Saccharomyces cerevisiae S288C: one gene and its partners. The protein of the gene in region 1 interacts with the protein of each later gene in a biochemical or structural test. Each region holds a gene or a part of one and is shown on either strand. Other genes may lie near its edges. The genes, in order: ATG8, CCT2, APE1 and ATG40.

Evidence for each region.
Region 2: the proteins of ATG8 (region 1) and CCT2 form a complex in vitro, tested with the Saccharomyces cerevisiae proteins (one study listed by BioGRID).
Region 3: the proteins of ATG8 (region 1) and APE1 form a complex in vitro, tested with the Saccharomyces cerevisiae proteins (one study listed by BioGRID).
Region 4: the proteins of ATG8 (region 1) and ATG40 are reported together in a solved structure, tested with the Saccharomyces cerevisiae proteins (2 studies listed by BioGRID, with this or other methods).

What each region holds. Positions count from the first base shown.
Region 1 is NC_001134.8:79,689-82,825, forward strand, and holds ATG8 (ubiquitin-like protein ATG8), read right to left. Parts: upstream 1,044-3,137; coding exon 690-1,043; downstream 1-689. Other genes in the region: NUP170 (Nup170p), read left to right, coding at 1-79; isoleucine--tRNA ligase ILS1, read right to left, coding at 1,355-3,137.
Region 2 is NC_001141.2:81,254-85,515, reverse strand, and holds CCT2 (chaperonin-containing T-complex subunit CCT2), read right to left. Parts: upstream 2,215-4,262; coding exon 631-2,214; downstream 1-630. Other genes in the region: AXL2 (Axl2p), read right to left, coding at 1-150; TFIIH/NER complex ATPase/helicase subunit SSL2, read left to right, coding at 2,475-4,262. UniProt on the Saccharomyces cerevisiae protein: Molecular chaperone; assists the folding of proteins upon ATP hydrolysis. Known to play a role, in vitro, in the folding of actin and tubulin. In yeast may play a role in mitotic spindle formation.
Region 3 is NC_001143.9:245,220-249,775, forward strand, and holds APE1 (metalloaminopeptidase APE1), read right to left. Parts: upstream 2,464-4,556; coding exon 919-2,463; downstream 1-918. Other genes in the region: glutamine--fructose-6-phosphate transaminase (isomerizing) GFA1, read right to left, coding at 1-154; YKL104W-A (uncharacterized protein), read left to right, coding at 1-67; YKL102C (uncharacterized protein), read right to left, coding at 2,843-3,148; protein kinase HSL1, read left to right, coding at 3,701-4,556. UniProt on the Saccharomyces cerevisiae protein: Resident vacuolar enzyme that catalyzes the removal of amino acids from the N-terminus of peptides and proteins. Also acts as the major cargo protein of the cytoplasm-to-vacuole targeting (Cvt) pathway.
Region 4 is NC_001147.6:616,880-620,399, reverse strand, and holds ATG40 (Atg40p), read left to right. Parts: upstream 1-2,111; coding exon 2,112-2,882; downstream 2,883-3,520. Other genes in the region: ATP-binding cassette multidrug transporter PDR5, read right to left, coding at 1-560. UniProt on the Saccharomyces cerevisiae protein: Acts as a receptor for reticulophagy. Directs autophagic sequestration of folded tubules/sheets derived from the cortical endoplasmic reticulum (cER) and the cytoplasmic endoplasmic reticulum (cytoER) into autophagosomes.

The DNA of each region.
Region 1 (3,137 bases):
CAAAATTGATAATGATCCAATTGAAAAGTACGTTAAGAACAGCGGCAATAATTTGGGGATTTGTTTCTACAAAGAATAAAAATTCATGTTCGACATATAGATAGCAGGGTAATGTACGTGTATATTTTAATGTAATAAAGAGGCCTTACTAGACGGTAAAGTTAAGAATATCGAGTGAACTTTTCCTTAAGATAAAGGTAAATATAGTCGAGTATTTATTTATTATTCTTTTCCACTATACAGTATTTAAAATTCTGTAAGAAATTGATTCTACATACATAAGACAAACGAACAGGTCAGAGAGAATCAGATTTTTGGTTAGCAAGAATACATTTTGGAGAAGAAAGACATTAACTCCACCTTACTGTATCATCTTATTTGCTTTTTCACTCCTTCCTAATATTTTTTTTATTTTATTTTGAATTTCTTCCTATTTCTGATGCATTGAACAGATCGTAATCTGTAAGTAAATACCATAACGTGCTCACATTTGTCTCCAAATACTGGTGAAATCTTGGCTCCGTTGTGTACAAAACTTCTTAATGAATATATATATATTTTTCCCTTATTTTATCTTTTTTTTTCGAATTTTTTATGTAAACATTCTTATACTGGAACAATAGATGGCTAATGAGTCCCTATAATTTCGATTTTAGATGTTAACGCTTCATTTCTTTTCATATAAAAGACTACCTGCCAAATGTATTTTCTCCTGAGTAAGTGACATACAAAAACCCGTCCTTATCCTTGTGTTCTTGATATATGGCAGACATCAACGCCGCAGTAGGTGGCAAAGTATCATTGACAAAAATGAAGATGGCCTTCTCAGGGGGTAGCATAATTCTCTTTCTTATAACATAAACAAATTGCCCTACGGTAAGGTCAGCAGGAACTAGATATTTACGCTTATCAATCTCTGGAATATCTGACTTTTCAGCTTTTTCGCAAATCACAGGTATCCTATTCTTGAACCTGTCAGCAATCCTCTCCGACTCCGCCTTCCTTTTTTCAAATGGATATTCAGACTTAAATGTAGACTTCATGTCTCTAGTAATTATTTTATTATGATTTTCTCAACTTTACAATTATTAGATTCTCTTATCAATCCCCTCCTCAACCTTTAATGGTTCCCCTTTTTGTATTTCCATAATTATACCAAATATTTTTGCCGCCGCCGAAAATAACCGGCCTCCGGGTGATGATATATCATGTGCTATGATTTCACGGGTATTATACAACATTATCGGTGGAGACAGTTAGCATTACATGACTCTAACTTAAACGTAAACTTACACATATACATCTATATCACTTCGAGTAGAGAAAAATTTGTACGTATTTATATGAGTTGTTTTCATAATTTGAACACTTTTAATTTGAAAATGGTGTCATTAATAGATTGTTCTTCATCACCAATTGGGTCTGTCTTTGAGCCGTCATATTTGGCAATGTCGGATCTACAGGTCTTGCTTAACATATCAAAATGTTCTTTGACAATGGCTTCAAAGTCGATAGTATCTTTAACTAATTCGTACTCCACTAAAACATCGTCGGTGGCTTCCAAACCACACTTCTTTCTCAATTTTTGGATTCTGTTGACCAGCTCTCTTGCGAGACCTTCACTCTTTAGTTCAGAGTAAATATTTGTATCCATGATGATTAACACGTCTTGGTCGGTTCTGGTTTCTTGTCCAGCTTGGACAGCAGATTCTGGCAAGCCTCTAATAGCATTCAAATCTCCTTTAACCAGTTCAATACCGGCAACCTCCAACTTTCCGCTTTCCAAATATTCCCGTACTTGCTCAGAAGTGACTGATGGTAGGGCATCTTTAACCTTCTTTGCGTCTTTTTTCAACTTCTTACCCAATACAGGCCAATCAGCAACTGCTTTATACTCAACACCATATTTTGCCTCATCGGAGGTGATAACAACATCACGAACATTTAATTCCTCGATAATGTAGTTTTTCAAGGCTTCTACATCCTTCAAGTATGATTCATCACTGTGAAGGATGACCAAAGTCTTCAATGGAGTTTTTAAGGAAATAGTTTTCTTTTCACGAATGTTTCTACCCAAATCGATAACGGATTGCATTCTAGAAACTGCAGTTTCGATGGCCTCGTCAAAGTATTCTTTCTTGACCACTGGGTAAGATAAGAAATGGACTGATCTTCCGTCCTTACCGTATTTTGCTAAGACAGCTTCTGGGATGTATTCCTTCAGTCTCAAATAAATGCTTTCTGACAAAAATGGGGTGAATGGAGCCATGGCACGGACAAATGTGAATAAGGCATCGAATAAAGAATTTAATGCTTTCAAACAGTCCTCAACACCGTTTTCACCCTTCAAACGACGACGATTAAATCTAATATACCAGTTTGTCAATTCATCAATGAAATTCAAAAGTTTTGGAACGACAGTGTATAATTTGTACTGACCCATTTCTTCGTGAATGAATTGTACTAGAGATTGCATAGAAGCTAAAATCCATCTGTCCATGACATTATCACTTTTCACAGAATCATCATATTGGAAGTCGATGTTAGACATCTTTTTCAACAAGGCAATTTGACCGTCCAAAAATTTAAAGGAGTTCCACCATGGTAGTAAGACCTTTGAAACAACCTCCTTAACACCCTCTTCTTTGAATTTCAAACTTTCAGCTTTTAAAACAGGTGAGTTTATCAAGTACAATCTTAATGCATCCGCACCATATTTGTTCAGAACAATGGATGGATCAGGGTAATTTTTCAAGGATTTAGACATCTTTCTACCATCGGCAGCTAAGACAATACCAGAGACGATGACGTTCTTGTATGGAACAGAGCCAAATAGATGGGTACCTAAGACAGCTAACGTGTAGAACCAACCTCTTGTTTGATCCAAACCTTCAGAGATGAAATTAGCTGGAACTCTTTCGTCAAATTTTTCTGTGTTTTCAAATGGATAATGTTGAGAAGCATAAGGCATAGAACCAGATTCAAACCAACAATCAAAAACTTCTTCAATTCTCTTTAAGTCACCCTTACCTTGCTTGGATGGAATTGTCAATTTGTCAATGACATCACGATGCAAGTCAGTGATGTTACGCACACCGGTCAATTCTTCCAATTCTTTGATAGAACCAACACAGACG
Region 2 (4,262 bases), on another chromosome or scaffold:
ATTGGAAATTTGAAATGTAAACGATTCATTGACTCTTGCCACTGGGGGGTATTGTTTTCCGATAGGATATGCCTCATAGGGCGTGGCCACTACTAGATGGAGTAGTGATATAGTAGCTGTCAGCAATAATGAAATCTGAAGCTGTGTCATGGTAAGTGAATGCTTCTTGATATACGTAGATGTTGGAAGCAGGAAATCGTTTCGAGGAAGATATAATTTTTCTATTAAGTAATTGTTCTGTTCTTCTAGTGATGGTGGCTGTTGCAGTGTCAATCACTACAGGATGTGAGAGTAAAGAATAAGAAAATAAGTTCTCATATGAAAAGTGAAAATTACTCGACAAAGGAGGGCGACTCTCGGCAAGGAGCTTTGAGGTTGTGGAGATGCTATCTTTAACCATACCTACGATGGGTATTATTACATTCTTGAGACAGGGCTCGAGTACTGCTCGAAGAGGAAACATAAGTTGCCAAAATTTATTTGTGACGCGAATTGCCAAAAGTTCTATGACGCGTTGTTCTTTTTTTTTCGCGTCTTTGAATTATATAGTGGATAATTTTTGCGTTCTGTTTCTAATTATAATAATGACAGTGTGGCGGTTTATTATTTTCGAGGTATATCCTAAATATGTTACATATGTTGTCTATTGGCGGTTCTTGGTCTTGCACGGATGATGTTATCCACCCTTAGTAGAACTTCAGCGGCTTCAGATGCAGAGCTGACTACTGCTCGTTTTAGCTTGTAACTCTCGACGATACCTAACTGTCTCATGTCGGCAATGGTTCCGTTGTTGAGATCTAAACCTGAGGTGGAGATACCGTTGTATATGGAGGATCTTAGTTTGGACACAAGTTCGCTGCTGTCAAAACCAGCATTATCTGCCAAAATGGTTGGCAGTTGTCTCAGAGCACGGGCAAAAGCCTCCACGGCAAGGGACTTCTTTCCGTCGATGTTTTGAGCTTCGGTGTCCACAGCTTTTGACATGACCATCTCGGCGCAACCGCCGCCAAGAACAGTTCTTGTTTCCTTTGTGGTCTGTGACAACACGGACAATGCGTCATGCAGGGATCTCTCAGCTTCATCAAGCGTTTGGTCGGTAGCACCTCTTAGGACGATGGTACAAGCTTCACCAGCTTTGCAACCACTAAACTTCAAGAATGGCTGTTCACCAAGCATAATTTCCTCGATCACGTCACATTCTCCCAGTTTGCATTTACTTGGCTCGTCAAATGTAGACACCACCTCACCGCCTGTAACCAGGGCGAGCCTTTCTACACCTTCAAAATCAGCATGCTCAATTGAGTTTATGCCCAAATCTGTAAATAATTGCTCTGGATAGTCATAAATTAGTTGTCTATTGATGAAAGTGTTGATACCAAACTTGGAAATCTTGGCAATTTTATTCTTCATCTTTTCACGTTCTGCCTTTTCTAGTTGTGCCAATTTAGCAGTAGAATCGACTTTGAATTTGGTGCCGAATATTTTGACCTTGTCTGTATCCAAAGTTGTATTGGCGATTAGAATCTTAGCATTTTCAATTCTCTTGGGTTGGTTGTTACCAAATTTTTTGGCAAGAATGAAACCTTCGTCAAGGAACGAATCTGATAGCTTTCCACCAAGAATCTTAATGATCTGAATATGTTCTAAGTTAGTGGAGCCCTTCAATCTCAAAATAGCATTAGTTGCTAATTCTGCGAAGTGATCCTTATCCTGAGACAAAATTTTGGAAGATAAAGTAGTCTTGGCAATATGGATCAGATCTTCACGGAACATGGTCTTATCATGAGAGTTGTCAACAGCCGCTTTCGTTAACGCATCCAATGCGGCTGCTGAAGCTAGTCGGTAACCTTCAATAATAGTTTGAGGGTGGATTTTGGATTGATCAATCAACTTCTCTGCTTCTCTAAGCAACTCTGCGCTCAAAACAGTAACACTAGTGGTACCATCTCCAACTTCGTCATCCTGCACCTTACTGATGTTCACCAACACTTTGGCTGCGGGATTATCCAGCGGAATTGACTTCAGAATCGTAGCACCATCGTTTGTTACCATGCAAGTGTTACTGGACGCACTTTGCAATAATTTATCCATCCCTTTTGGGCCTAATGTGCTTTTCACCAAATCACCCACGGCAATGGCACCGACAAACGCCGACAAACGGGCGTTTTCCGCTCTTTCTTCTGTAACCTGGTCTCCAAATATCTGTACACTCATCCTGAATCTTTTGAGCTTTGTACGACTGACTCTTCTTGCCTATTTAATGGCCACCTTTCATCCTCTTTTTTATTGCTCTGCTCTTGTCTTTTAAACTCGCCACCGCGAAGAGAAAAAAATTTCAGATCGTTAGAAACGAGGTTTTTCTTCTAAGAAGTATAAGGAAAAAGGTCCTTAGTAAGGATAGATAATAGTAATGATATCTACATTATTTAGTAAAAGTAGCATCTACTGACGTTGGAATCAGTGGAAGATAAATCATGACGGACGTTGAAGGCTACCAACCTAAGAGCAAGGGGAAAATCTTTCCAGATATGGGTGAGTCCTTTTTCTCATCAGATGAGGATTCACCAGCTACTGATGCAGAGATCGATGAGAACTATGATGATAACAGGGAAACGTCAGAAGGACGTGGAGAAAGGGATACCGGCGCCATGGTAACAGGGTTGAAGAAGCCTCGGAAAAAGACCAAGAGTAGCAGGCATACAGCGGCGGATTCCTCTATGAATCAAATGGACGCTAAGGATAAAGCGCTTTTGCAGGACACTAATAGCGATATACCAGCAGATTTCGTTCCAGATTCCGTCTCTGGAATGTTCAGAAGCCATGACTTTAGTTATTTGCGGTTAAGACCAGACCATGCTTCCAGGCCCCTTTGGATCTCGCCAAGTGACGGTAGGATCATTCTGGAGAGTTTCTCTCCATTAGCAGAACAGGCTCAGGACTTTCTGGTCACCATTGCAGAGCCTATAAGTAGACCCTCCCATATTCATGAATACAAGATCACAGCATACTCTTTGTATGCAGCTGTTTCTGTAGGGTTGGAGACGGATGATATCATTTCAGTTCTGGATAGATTATCCAAAGTACCCGTTGCTGAATCGATAATCAACTTCATTAAAGGGGCTACCATTTCATACGGTAAAGTGAAACTAGTTATTAAGCATAATAGATATTTCGTGGAGACTACACAAGCAGATATTCTGCAAATGTTGCTGAATGATTCCGTCATCGGGCCCCTAAGAATAGATAGCGATCATCAAGTACAGCCACCAGAGGATGTACTACAGCAACAACTTCAGCAAACCGCTGGAAAACCCGCTACTAATGTTAATCCGAACGATGTGGAAGCCGTGTTTAGTGCAGTTATAGGTGGTGATAATGAGCGGGAAGAAGAAGATGATGATATTGATGCCGTTCACTCCTTTGAAATTGCCAATGAGTCTGTTGAAGTCGTAAAGAAAAGATGTCAAGAAATCGATTATCCCGTGTTGGAAGAATACGACTTTAGAAACGACCATAGAAACCCGGATTTAGATATTGATTTGAAACCTTCCACTCAAATCAGACCCTATCAAGAAAAATCGCTGAGTAAAATGTTTGGTAATGGGCGTGCTCGTTCAGGGATTATTGTTTTGCCATGTGGCGCAGGTAAAACTTTGGTCGGTATTACCGCAGCATGTACTATAAAAAAATCCGTAATTGTTTTATGTACTTCATCAGTCTCCGTCATGCAATGGAGGCAGCAATTTTTACAATGGTGTACCTTACAACCTGAAAATTGTGCTGTTTTCACCTCTGATAATAAGGAAATGTTCCAGACAGAATCCGGTTTGGTTGTTTCCACTTATTCAATGGTGGCAAACACAAGAAACAGGTCTCATGATTCACAAAAAGTTATGGATTTCTTGACCGGTAGGGAATGGGGGTTCATTATTCTTGACGAAGTTCATGTGGTGCCCGCCGCAATGTTCCGTAGGGTGGTCTCCACCATCGCAGCACACGCCAAATTGGGACTGACCGCAACGCTGGTTAGAGAAGATGATAAAATTGGTGATCTGAATTTTTTAATTGGTCCAAAACTTTATGAAGCAAATTGGATGGAATTATCCCAAAAAGGACATATTGCAAATGTCCAATGTGCAGAGGTTTGGTGTCCCATGACAGCAGAATTTTACCAAGAGTATTTAAGAGAAACTGCAAGGAAAAGAATGCTACTGTATATCATGAATCCAACAAAGTTTCAGGCATGCCAATTCTTAATTCAA
Region 3 (4,556 bases), on another chromosome or scaffold:
TGAAAGTAGAATCAGCTTCGTCACCATCGATAGCAATACCGGTGGAATCATAGCCTCTATATTCTAATCTTTGTAAACCATCCACTAAGGTGTCGATAATTTCTCCTCTGGATCTTTCCACTAGATAATTGCAGTAACCAAAGATACCACACATTTTTTTATAAAAGTTGCTGTTGATTTGCTCGAGAACTTATTGCTTATTTGGCCCTGATAACTATATAAGAAAAGAAATACAGTTATTCCTTGTTTATGCTGGCTTTTTGTCCACTTTTTCTCAACTATATAACTATGATGTTGGAAAGGACACCGGTTCTGTAACTTTGCAGTGAAAATAAGTGTGATGGATGACTGAGAATGCTTTCTTGTAAGCGAAAAGAAGTACGTGTTCCAAAAATAAAGCAGAAAGGCGAAAAGGGTCGAATGTAAGACACTAAATAAATATTTTAAGAAGAGGAAAAGTCGCCTCAGAAACGCTAAAATGCATCCGATTTCCCAAAGAGGAAGTCTAATGTTTTCGATTTGTGAAAAAAAGATAAAAATCGAAGAAAATGTAGGGAGCCGCGCGTTACCCGGATTGATATTTGAGTGATCGACGGCGTCACAAAAGAAAGAATGCTTGGCTAATCAAGAAAAGTATGTGGTTTGTTTCATCTAATACGGCTGTCAAGGCCCACATTGGTGTTCAAATGCATTTTTTATAGTTCGTGGTTACTGTTAATATTCTTTCCTAGTAGAATGTTTGGGGTTTAGGTATTTTTGATGTTTTATTTATAAATAGATATTTATATCTTGACGATTGTGGTGTTTTATTTTTTTTTTTTTATACATTTTTCTTTTCTTCCTGATTCGAAATAAAAGTATTTTTAGAAAAAGGATAAAGAAACAGAAATCAAAAGAAATAAAAAGAGTGTGGCAAAATCACAACTCGCCGAATTCATCGTAGACTGATCTCCAGTGCTTGAAAAATCCGTTGAAGAACTTAACACCTAATCCGACATCCTTGGACCCTGTAGCAGCTCTGATGCTGTGCATGGACAACTGTGCAATTCCCAGGTCTATGGTACGAGCACCTGTTTGAGAAGCCAATGATGGGCCGATAGTACCACCTGATCTTGAGTTGTTTTTGATTTGGAAATATTGCACTTTGTCTCCATTGCGGCGTGCTAATTCTTCTACTAGGGCAGTTCCTACGACATCTGTGGCCATATGACCGTTAGGATCCAGTGATAAAGTGATTCCGACATTAGGCACTGGAAAATGATTCTTCAAATAGACTTCAGGAAAGTTTGGGTTGTAGAGGTGGTTGACGTCTGCGGACAAGATGATGGAATTAGCCCAAACCGTATGCAAATCGACCGGTTTCTTAGTGAATGCAGAAGAACTGCGTTCCACCACTGACTCCAACAAGCCACCTTTTGCGCCTTGTCTTGTCAACGATCCGATTTCTTCATTATCATACAAAGTGACAGTAGAGAATAAATCTGATTCCTCGGTATTAACATCCTTAGCGTAGCAAATCAAAGCAATCATTGCTGCGAAACTACACAACCTGTCATCTAGACGTGGTGCAAAAAGGAAGTGTTTACCAATACCTCCAATGGTACCCTTTTGCACATCGAATAAGTCTAAATCCATTTGAATCAATTCGGACACTTCCACACCGGCTAATTTGGCAACGTACCTTAACAGGTGGATGCAGTGTTTGCCAAATAAGGGCGATTTCTTTTCATCATCCGTGGGAGGTTCATTACCTTCCTCATCCGGAGTGGGGAAGCCGATGACCGGGATAGTTTGGTCCTCTTTATCAAATGGGCCTTCAGCAGGTTTACCGAAATGGGGAGCCAAGGAAGGAATTCGACAAACAGGTAGGGGTGTAGAATCAACCAAGGCGCTTTTAATTTCGTTAGTGCCCTTCTTCTTGTAAAGAAGGCGACCACCAATACCTAGGTCTCTGTCTAGCCACAATTCATTCAGTGTACCTCCATAGGGAGCAACAGCAATTCTTCCGTAACCTTCCGCTGTGTCTTTAAAGGAGACGGGCTTCAATTTGACCGTCAAAGCGTCCACATGAGATCCAATGACACCGACACCCTTTTCGGCTCTCCAGTTTTTGCCCAGGATAAAGGCAGATAGGTTAGTTCCATTTCTTATAGTGTAGAATTTCCCACCATCTTCGCCAATGGAGTCCTGCCAATTGGATTTCTCGCTCAAGTATTTGAAGTTATGCTTATCTAACAGCTCCGCGAAAAATGATACTACATGGTAAGTGGTAGGGTTCTTGTAAATGAAATCAATGAATTCCTGTGCAATATCCTCATAATTGTGCTCGAGGATGCACCACGAATTTTCATTTTCTTTCTTTTCCTTTTCTTCGTTGGCGATTTGGTTATTTTTAGATGGCTCTACAGTTAGCATCTGCAGAGTTTTCTTCAATTGTTCCAGTATTTCACGTTGTTCCTCCATTCTTTTTTTCTTAATTTTGTTGGTTGTGCAGGTTTCTACAATTGCACTAAGATTACTGATCAGGCTCTATACAGTGTATGTCTTGTTCTGTGAAGTCAACTGCTTATAAATGAATTTTTATTATCTAATGGAACGATTAAGGGGTGTGTCAACTATTTCACTTAACCCTATTCTTTCTTACTGTCGTTTGCTTGCATAGCCTATCTTACAGTAATAGAGGTGCAAAACAGCATCACCCCTAGTTGTTTTTCCCGAAAAACCTATCCCAGATTATTTTTTTTTTGAATTAGACAAGAAATCATCCGAAGACCTATTATGCTTCTGATTAAACCTTGAGAAAAACGGAAGTTTGCAACCTATACCCTAAAGTAGAAGCTGACTAATTCATATTCCTCACGAAATGGTGCGACCTCTCTTTATCCATGAGAAAAGGAAGGAGTGGGTTCTTGTTTGATGCTTCTTTATCTGATACCAACAAGCGCAAGAGATAAGGGATTACAATGTTATCATGCCTCAGAAAGTAATAGGATGACATTTTCTTGCAAACGTTGACATTAAAAACATAAAGTACCTTACGGCGTTCGGAGCCTACAAGCCTGCCACAATTTGAGCCGCTGCACAAGAGAACACCGAATGAACAACTGGCTGCAGCTGTCGATGAAACCTCAGCGAATAAAGCACACATTTGTGCGTTTTACAATAACAGGGAAGGTGGAATGTGTTGCCTTCGTCCTTATTTTTCGCGTTGTGAAATATTTTTACTAATTTTTCTTTTCGCGTGGTCATTTTCGCGTTGGGTTGTTTGGGCTAAATAGTGAAAACTAATCTCCATCACGTACCGTACCGTCTTGTACCGGCTGGGAGCAGCATTATAGTGGCCACTCTTATTGGCGTTCTTAATATAAGCAAGTTACCTTTTGCTCGAAACCTGTTTCTTCTTAAAACTCCCTTTGGATCGTAAGTTCGCTAGTTATCCGACTGCAAGGACGTAAATTGGACAGCGAGAGGCCATTAAAACAGAGAGTTGAACTCAAATAGATCATCAAATAGGTTGGATATCCATCATACTACTTGCTACTAATCGCGAAAAGAGATAAATAATAAAATTACAAGAAAGACAAGGTAAAAAGAACGACATAGATTTGCGGGACAAAAAATACTGATAAATAAATCAACAACCAACTATATTCACTCCTTTATTATTTGTTATTAATATTTTTTATTTTTACCACACGACATGACTGGTCACGTTTCAAAAACGAGCCACGTACCCAAAGGTCGCCCGTCTTCATTGGCCAAGAAGGCAGCTAAAAGGGCCATGGCCAAAGTAAATTCGAATCCAAAAAGGGCGTCGGGGCATTTGGAGCGTGTTGTACAATCTGTGAACGACGCTACCAAAAGATTATCTCAGCCCGACTCTACCGTAAGTGTTGCTACAAAATCATCAAAGAGAAAATCCAGAGACACGGTGGGTCCTTGGAAACTTGGCAAAACATTGGGGAAGGGATCTTCTGGTAGGGTTCGCTTGGCTAAAAATATGGAAACAGGACAATTAGCTGCCATTAAAATTGTCCCCAAGAAGAAAGCCTTTGTTCATTGTTCTAATAATGGAACTGTTCCTAATTCTTACTCTTCTTCCATGGTCACTTCCAATGTATCTTCTCCATCAATAGCATCTAGAGAACATAGTAACCATTCTCAAACGAACCCATATGGCATAGAGAGAGAAATAGTAATCATGAAATTGATATCTCACACAAACGTTATGGCATTGTTTGAAGTTTGGGAGAACAAATCAGAGCTGTACCTAGTTTTGGAATATGTTGATGGTGGCGAATTATTCGATTATCTGGTCTCGAAGGGAAAGCTACCTGAAAGGGAGGCTATCCATTACTTCAAGCAGATAGTTGAAGGTGTTTCCTATTGTCATTCTTTTAATATATGCCATCGTGATCTGAAGCCTGAAAATTTATTATTAGATAAAAAGAATAGGAGAATCAAAATTGCTGATTTCGGCATGGCAGCATTAGAGCTTCCTAATAAACTTTTAAAAACTTCATGTGGCTCTCCACACTATGCGTCTCCTGAAATTG
Region 4 (3,520 bases), on another chromosome or scaffold:
TCACCTGGGTTTAGGCAACCATCCATTGGTTTCAAGATTTGGAAAGTATTGGTTTCTTTAGAACGTTGAAACTTTCTCAGCCCACTTTTTAGGATTTTGTATGGAATATTAACCACAGTTGACTGATAGGCGACATCTGCGGAAGCACCAGAAGCACTTAAGTTCTTCCAAGCGCAACCTAAGGAATAAGGCTTATAAAAGTCAGGGTCTGCCGCACTTAGGTGAGCCATATTCTTAACCCAGGCGGCACTAGAAAAATTTTCGGAGTTGGGGTCCAATTTTGGGTCATAGCCTGGAGCTTCAGGATCAGAGAATATCGGGTTTACACCTTCCACACCGCTAGAAAATATAGACTGAGCATCACTTTTGTTGGGTGCCGATTGAGTGGAGTTTTGCATACTCTGTGCGGTCAGAGTCCTTGCCAGTTTTTGGATTCGAGCTTCTGTATGCTCATCGAACCCATTATAATTGTGTAGATCAGCAGCGTTTTCAGTAGAAGAAGACGCGGAGGAGTAGCTAGTAACGTCGTTGACGTTATTGTTAAGCTTGGCCTCGGGCATTTTTGTCTAAAGTCTTTCGAACGAGCGGATACGAAAACTTAAAAGGGTCTTTAATTTCTTTTTCGAAAGTTCCTAGTTGCCAATTTATTTATAATTAGAATAACAAAGTCGAGTGATAACTAACACAGTTGTTATATGTTTGCAACTTTGCGTGACTTTTTTCTTTTGGATTTCATTCTAAGGTATGATAATAAAAGCGAACAGCCATAAGGTTATGCACATCACAATTATATATGTATAGGAGAGGCCTTGTTTGTATTGCTCAGATTACGTTCAACAGATATCGTACCACGGCGTAGAAGAGTTCCGCGGAGACATTTCTCTTTTTTTAGCACATTACCATAAGTAGGAATACAGATCTGACCTTTCCACGGAATCACGAGTCCAAAGGGTGCTGAATCGTGATCACGACCCGCGGGTGAGCCCACACTCACCGGAGTCTTAGTAAATCTGAAAATGTTGTGGCACCGCGGCATGAGCGATTCCGCGGAAAGAGAGGGGCAGTCTTAAGTTTCAGTCCACTCGTTCCGTGGGAAGCAATCGACCGAATGGTTCTCCACGGACGTTTTCTCGGCGGCAAGGTTGTGTCGTGATAATCGTTGCATAGATGTGATGGCTTCCTGCAACTTATCCTGTGCTCGAAGGCGCAGAATGCGAACGTTCGCGCTGAGGAACGTTCATGTTCTTTTATTAGTAAGATCATACGTGTGGTGTTGTTTTCCATTGAGTTCCACTCCTGATTGTGTGAAGTGATAAATGTTGTGTACTATGTAAGGGACTGCGCCAACGAGGTGCTGCTTTCTATTATGGCAAATTGTTGCGAGTATGGCTTAATTGTTTATTGTAATAGGTAATTTGATGTTCTTTTTTTTCTTTGATTTGAACTTTTGTTCTCTCTCTCAACTTTTTCTTTTCTTTGTCCTTGTTGATTAGATTGTGACGATAATTTCCTTATAATATCATTGTTGGAATCAAAGAGGAAGACATATTTACGTTAACGAACAAGTTCAGTGAACCATCTAAACATAGAAAGGGGTCCCAGAGAACGCTTCCTTTGTATGATATCTGAAATTTGTCTACTGCATTCAGGCTTATATATATGTGTGTGGTAGCGCCCAACGGAGAACCGTATATGACGGACTTTACTGTGTCACATTTCAGAAAAACAATAAGTGTTTTTCCCTTCCGTAAATAGCACATATTCATTCCTATATCGCCTCTCTGTTTTATGCTCTTTTTTCCCGGGCATTTATTATTACCCGGTATTTCCAAAGATGCGGTTACTGCCCGCGGGTATTGGGCCTCCCTTAATATGCATCGATTTTACTGTTTAAAATCGTACAAAAGATAATATGTGGAAACAACTTTCCTAAGCAGCGAAATACACGTGCAAGAGCAACGTTATATCATTTCGATTTCATTTAATTTGATCTGGCTCGACATTAGTATTTCAAATCGAGGATAAGATTTTTGTAGTGCTCTTTTTTTCTATCTTTTAGCTAAGGTTCCTAACGTTCTTTCTGCTGTGCTTCACTCCACCATAGAAAACTAATGTTTAATTTAATTTTATGGCCCTTATTTTTGCTTACCTCAGTTGCCATTCCTTTGCAGCTGACATTAGAAGTGGTCTATCTGACGTCTTCCGTTGACTTCTCAAAGGCAAGTGCTGCTAAAACCGCTACTTCTTTGGGTCAGTCCCCAGTTGTCATCACCATTTATAAATCACTGTTAAAATATTGGAGTCTTTACGAGTTCATACATTTTATTTACCTCTATACTCCTATTGATGCCTTTCTGAATTTCTTACCATTTACCTCTTTACTTATGTCGTTTGGAAGTATTTGCTTGACAAGAGAGCTGGTATATGACTTCATTGCCTTTATGGAATCTCAAAACAAGCTTACCGGATTCCTTAATAAGATAACAGAACCGAATTTTAACAGTTATTTACTGTTTTCTTCAATTTATAACATTTGGTTTGCAGATGACACCAATGACAAATTCTTATTCGGTAAATTAACTCAGATTTTAATATCTGTAACAAAAAGGTACGAATTTCCAAGAACATTCTACTTAGCAAAAGTTTCTGATTTCCTACAAAATCTCATTCTAACGAGATTGAGACCCTTTGTAACGGAGCAACCCCAAGGCGACAAAAATCGCTATCAAAACGGTGACCGTGAATCTACAAAGAATGGAGCTGCTTATCAGAAGTCTTCACAACAATCATCGTCTTTCGAACAAAATTTTACCAGCACTGAGTTCCCGAATGATTATGATTTTATGGAGGATATTCTAGATGAGACAACTGAATTGGATTAGAATAGTTTTTCCATTTTACCATAATGGTAGTCTATGAAGGTACCTAATTTTTCATAGACACAAAACAAAGTTCAGGCGACGAAACACAAAAATCGCCATATATATTTACGCATATGTATGCATTCTAGGAAACAGAAAAAAATAAATAATATAGTTCCTTCTTGTGACTTCCTCTCCAACCCGCCGCATAATCGTCGGCATGGTTAAACATGCTGTATCGGCTATTAAGGAAAGAAAGTATACATAAAAGAATGAAATAAAGTTGTCCAAATGGTGAAGAATTTAAAAAAATGCTACTTCGAGCTGCTACTATGAGTTTATAGGCTGAACATAGCATATAGCATTTCATAACTGCACTATAATTGAGGTTTCTCTGTTTTAAAAGCATAATCCCAAATAATTCTGAGTTGACAAAATAGCGGCCATCTTAAAATAATTTGTTACCCTGCTTGGCGTTCAAAATGATTTTTCACTTTTCTATTTTTTTTCATCCTCTCACTTTCGTAGTAGCTTTTGAAAAAGTGGCGAACAAACAAGAAGTGAGTTGTAATTCATGCAATAAGGAACTGACCACTACTTTTAGCAACCATAAAAGCTAGTGATTTGTCTAAGTAGGGAGCAGCTTTATAAAGTTAGGG